Linked DNA regions of Kluyveromyces lactis. Each later gene encodes a partner of the first gene's protein in a complex. Links are inferred from orthologs where the notes say so. Each region holds a gene or a part of one and is shown on either strand. Other genes may lie near its edges.

Evidence for each region. The genes of interacting proteins can lie anywhere in the genome.
Region 2: SRP68 (region 1) and SRP14 share a complex: the UniProt entries of both Saccharomyces cerevisiae proteins name them as parts of the fungal signal recognition particle (SRP) complex. The link is inferred for Kluyveromyces lactis from reciprocal best matches to the Saccharomyces cerevisiae genes SRP68 and SRP14.

The regions. Positions count from the first base shown.
Region 1 is NC_006040.1:1,096,576-1,100,048, reverse strand, and holds SRP68 (signal recognition particle subunit SRP68), read right to left. Parts: upstream 2,266-3,473; coding exon 511-2,265; downstream 1-510. Other genes in the region: KLLA0_D12892g (uncharacterized protein), read right to left, coding at 1-98; UDP-galactose transporter HUT1, read left to right, coding at 2,755-3,473. UniProt on the Saccharomyces cerevisiae protein: Component of the signal recognition particle (SRP) complex, a ribonucleoprotein complex that mediates the cotranslational targeting of secretory and membrane proteins to the endoplasmic reticulum (ER).
Region 2 is NC_006042.1:679,599-681,566, forward strand, and holds SRP14 (RNA-binding signal recognition particle subunit SRP14), read left to right. Parts: upstream 1-990; coding exon 991-1,446; downstream 1,447-1,968. Other genes in the region: clathrin-mediated endocytosis regulator UBX3, read right to left, coding at 1,565-1,968. UniProt on the Saccharomyces cerevisiae protein: Component of the signal recognition particle (SRP) complex, a ribonucleoprotein complex that mediates the cotranslational targeting of secretory and membrane proteins to the endoplasmic reticulum (ER).

The DNA.
Region 1 (3,473 bases):
TGTACGATCCAGTCGTCGTTCTCACACTCCGTATCTAAACACACCCAACAAACGTACTGCTTGTGAAATAGATCATCAATACAACTTCGGAGTGTCATCCTAAAACTGCCTAGGATAAGAGTAAATGTTGTCCTTAATTAAACACCACTGATAAAGCTCTAATATACGATTTATTGCCTGGCTCTATTGCCTGAGTAACCTGTATTTCTTCCATCTTTTTAGGGTGAATGTTATATAGATAAAGTTTCAATTTCTGAAGTCTTTCCTCATGAAAAGTTCATTATAAGCACGATTAAATGAAGGAAGATACCATGAATAAAACTCACTTTTGGTTACCTCCTCCTCCATCAGCGTTACTGTTGTTGCTCCAGTTCTGAACCGATGTCATGAACTAGGCTCCCTTCGGTAATTATCTCCAAGCTATCTTATCTTGATGTTGGGACGGTATATATTTTACAAAAATACTAACTATGTTGACTATAATCGTCTTGGATGGGAGTTGTGGTATAATTAACCTCTGAAAAGACCGAATAAACCTTTCTTGGATGGTGCTTTCGATTCCTTGACGGGTTCATCGTCTTGGTTTGCCTCAGCAGTAGTTGAAGATACCGACTCTTCTGTAACAGAGGTAGAATCTGGTATGTTGAAGTAGTTGTAAGCCAAGTCGTAGAGGAAAGGTTTTGGAGGAATTGGAAGAAGTCTTGGTGCGAGTGGGTACAAGTTATCCAAGGATACGTCACTTGGTCTCACTTTGCTTTCCAAAATCTCGACTAGAGATGGTTCGAATTGACGGGTTTTCTTGTTCTTTTCCATAGATTTCTTGTGCTCTGCCAGGGCAACAACAGATCTCCATCCGGTAGTGATGTATTTCTTCAAGTCTGTGATCTTCCCCTTCGAGAGTAGCTGGGATGGTAGATAGATTTCATCCCAGTTTATCAGGGATTCTTCGGCGTTTTCAATTCTTTGTAAGCAGTCGACATATAGGGCGAGTGATTCCACGTATTTCTTCTTCGATTGATATATGTTTGCTAGCAGTTTGGAAGTGAAACAAGTTTCATAGTAAGTCTTCAAGAGGAACACTTGGTTTGTTAGGTCGCTGTCTGAGTAAACACCCGGTAGATCCATAATCTGACTTAACAAACTCTTTAAGTTCTTGATAATATGGTCCACTTCTTTGTACTTGTTTAACTTGCTCGTAAAAGACTTATTGTCAAATCTTTCCCATTGCTTCAAAAGACTCTCGAACAAGCTGCTGTCTCTTTCTACACCGGTTACCATGGCATTGTATTGTAGATAAGTCAAGAGAATTTGATTGTTTTCGTCAGTATCATCTTCAGAGCATGTCGTCATATATTCTTTTTGTAAATCAATGGCTCTGTTCCACTTAAATAGTTTATCGTTCAAATTGGAAAGCTTGCTGGAGTTGTGCAATTCAGCCAATTCACTGTACACTTCAAACACTTTACTGTCTTCTATCGTTGCGGAATATGATCTCCATGAAATCTCACGGGATTGACTCTTTGAAGCGTCAGTTTCGGGAACCGAGAAAGAGAACCCATGAGATTGTAACAATTGCAAAAGTTGGTCTTCCGGGTTAGCCTGTATGACTCTTGAAATATAGGTTTGTTGATCTCTGACAGAAAAGGCATTGGCCTTCTCTTTGAAAATGTACAGGTACTTGCTCTTCACTGCATCGGCCACGCCTTCCTTCAATAGCTTTGAATCAACTAAAAAGTTGACCGCAGCTAGTGCTAATGCTAGATGGGTAGAAATCTTCTCTGCATCGGAGAATTTGACCTGTTTCTTACCGTACAGCTCATATTCGGTCCGGATTAACTTTTCATATATCATTATTTCTGCTTGGATCTGCCACTTGTCCTCACCTTGAGACAATGAAATAAGTCTGTCACAGTACCTATTGGCCTTCTTTATCCTGGTACGCATGAGTTTCAATTCAAGACTCCTCAAGTGGCCCCTGCTTCTACCTGTGGCCTTGATACTTTCTACGTAAGCCACATCTCTTTCTGCTAACAAAAGCATTAAGAATCCATACAACCGATTCTTACTGTAATCCTCATGCGTAATCTTATCAAGTTTCTCCTGGCCCTTATAGTTCTTAGAATCCTTGGAAATCAACTTTAAACGGCCTCTCAATTGTTGTAACTTATGGTTAACCTTTTTATGATATTTATGGTAATCTGCAAAAGATTCTAACAATAAATTGGATCTGAACCCATAGGTAACACCCAAAGGAGAGTATACCATTGTTCCTTAATAGCTTAAAGTCAATTGATGAAGTCTTGTGAAAGGAATAAGTCAACCAATACACCCTTTAAACTTGGTGGAGACCTCAAATAGTCATGGTTCAACATTATTCAAAGTAGCTTTAGATCGATTACGAATTTCAAATAAAAAAATTTTTCCAGCTTAACTATGGTGAAAGATGAGGAAATCGTTGCCAGATCTGAACAAAATAGAGAACAGTATATGCATCGCTTGCTCAATTGGTACCTGACTTTCCATATCAGATACTGCTGCTTACTATTTATCTTATAAGCCGTGTTAAGACACAATTCGAGGCAGATTTCCCTGTTCAATATCCGTTTGAAATTTGTCACTGTGATAGAAACGATCTTGAATCATTTCTACTTGAAATAACAAAAGGTGTCAAACAAGAGATATATCTGGTAAAAAGAGCAAGTTCGTTCCCAACAAACGTATCTGGCAAGCTTATAAGGTGTTACATTGTTGGTAATGGGACGTCATATATTGAAACATGTTTTCGCGGTAGGAGGAATCTACTGTTCGTTTTTGACATGGGGTTTATTGCAAGAGCCTTTGAACACTAGAGTATGGCCGAACTCTGGCTGTACGTTTCAAGTACCATACATAGTCGCATTGGTACAGGCAACAATTGCTATGATTTGTGGGTTAATCTATATAAAATGGCAGAAACCTGTGCTTTCTCTATCGAAATTTTGGACCAGTCATACAAGGGATATGGCGATTATTTCATTATCCCAGGCAATTTCTGCTCCGTTAGCTGCTTACTCGTTAAGCTATGTGGATTTCTTGACTTATATGTTGGCAAAGTCATGCAAACTTTTACCGGTGCTGATGGTCCATTTGATTGTGTACCGTACACCAATTCCAAGAAGTAAGAAATTAGTGGTACTGTTGGTAACGGTTGGGATAACAATATTCACTTTGGATGGACATAAACCTTCTATGACTGAGAATGACGTTTCTGAGAGTTCTTCATCTTCTTCGTTGATTGGTTTTGTGCTGCTGGGTAGCAGTCTTTTCCTTGATGGATTAACCAACGCTAAACAGGATAAGCTATTCCAGAAGGCCACTTATAAGATCACTGGTGCTCATCTCATGTTTGCATTAAACTTCTTCCTAATTGTATGGAACGTAATATATATGGTTCTAGTTGATAGACAACAATTGGCAAAAGGTTTGAAGATGTT
Region 2 (1,968 bases), on another chromosome or scaffold:
AATAAATACTAAGAACGAATATCCAATTGGACAAAAAAGCACCTATAAACGATTGTATTGGCTACGCTTAACGGTTTAATGTTTCAATTCTTTTTTTTTACGAATTGTACTGTGGTGAAATCAGCGAGGGACACTGATTCTTTATGAAACCAAATCCAACCAAAAGGAAAATGCGTCAAAGGCTAGTAGGGAGAGAAAAAAAAAAAAAACAAAACAGACACCAATGTCTGATATCTTGCCATCGATTGACAATTGAGCTTCTACAATAACACTGGATACTCCCGGATCTCTCATCAAGGGTGAGAGAATGTACAGTTGATCGATTGAAGGTGTAACATTGCCAACAAAACTCTGTAGCAAATCACGCGATCAACTTACATATCCAATAGGATACCTCAAAAAACAGTCCGTAATCTCCTTGATGACAGAGAAGCTTACACACGCTTCTCTTTAGTGCAAAGTGACAATGACTACCCCCTTTCTGTTTCTCTGTAACTCATCGCATCTCATCTCATCTCGTCTCATCTCATATAGTATGGGGACCTGTTGTTTTTCTTTTTTTTTTTTGTTGGGAAAAACAAGATCGAGGATCGGAAATTTCTTTTTCTAAAAAAACTAACGAATTTCTTTTCGGGTTCAGGTGAATAGGCACAATTGATTTGGCAAATCTGGCGCAGATGTTAAATGTTATCCGGGTAATGAAGAACGTCACGTGGTTTGCCACATTTCATTCTTTTTGCACTTGTTTACCGGTATAGAAACAGAGTGGATATCAGAAACGTCGTAGAAATAAAGAGGAAACACATAGTGAAGGGACGATGGCCGGGTAGTGTAATTGCCAGTTGAAAAAATCGTACTTAGCTCCAGTCAAATGAGGGAAAGGCCTTAGATTCAACCTTCGACAGGCAGAATATGGTAAAGATGTCCAAAGAAAAAGGTTCAATATCATCACTTATCCAAGTCACCAGAATATACAGGTAACTTCCCATTATGTCAGACAAAGATGGAACCGCTAGTGGGCTTAAGGAAACGCCAGATTTCATAAAGAAACCTTTGTCTCATGACGAATTTTTTGTTAAGCTTGAAAAAGCTTTCAGAATGTCCAAGGTATCGCACAATCAGCTCAAAGTAAGCTTGAAAAGAGACTTGGGCAGTCATCACGTTCAAAAACCTAATGAATTGGATGTTACTTCCAATCCTACTGGTGATATCTCAAAGATGTCAGAATCCAAACGTTTAAAACAAAACGCTCAACCAGATACAAAACCATACAGACTTATCGTGCTAGTGAGCATGCCATATGATGGGAAACGAACGAAATTCTTCACTTTGGTAGATTCAAAGACTCTTGATAAATTTTGGAAGGATTATGTTAATGTTGTAAAAACAAGTATGTCTGGATTAATTAAAAAGAAGAAGAAGAAGAAGGGTGGTAAGAAAAACTGATGAAATATTCCCAACCTATTATCACCCATGAATCATAAATCCGCAATCGTGTAGCATTATAAAGTACATGTTATATATACATATATAGATGTCAAACTGCAAACCAGTAATTTGGTTTTCATTCGAACTCCACGACAATTGTTCCCGATGGATAAATTGTCCGTTCTTCCTTGATCACTGTGGTTGGCTCCAAACGGGTTCTGGGCACAGGTGAATATAGTTGAAAGTCATACTGATACTCGTAATTTGGTTTTTCTTGTGTAATATCATTCTCGCTGCTAGTGTCAGATAATAAACCTGCTCTGTATAATGCAACGTATGCGTAAATCTCCTCAATTGTTAATGAAGCATCAAATCTTCTAATAATTCTTTCATTTTCTAGTCTGATGCTTACTCTGCAACCGTCACCCGATGGTTCTGGCACTAGTACAGATTTTCTCCAAGCCAACCATTTCTTTTTAAGTTGGCTTTCCTCGATTACCCTATCCCTTTCCTGGTCCCTTTCTAGCGATTCTTGGTATC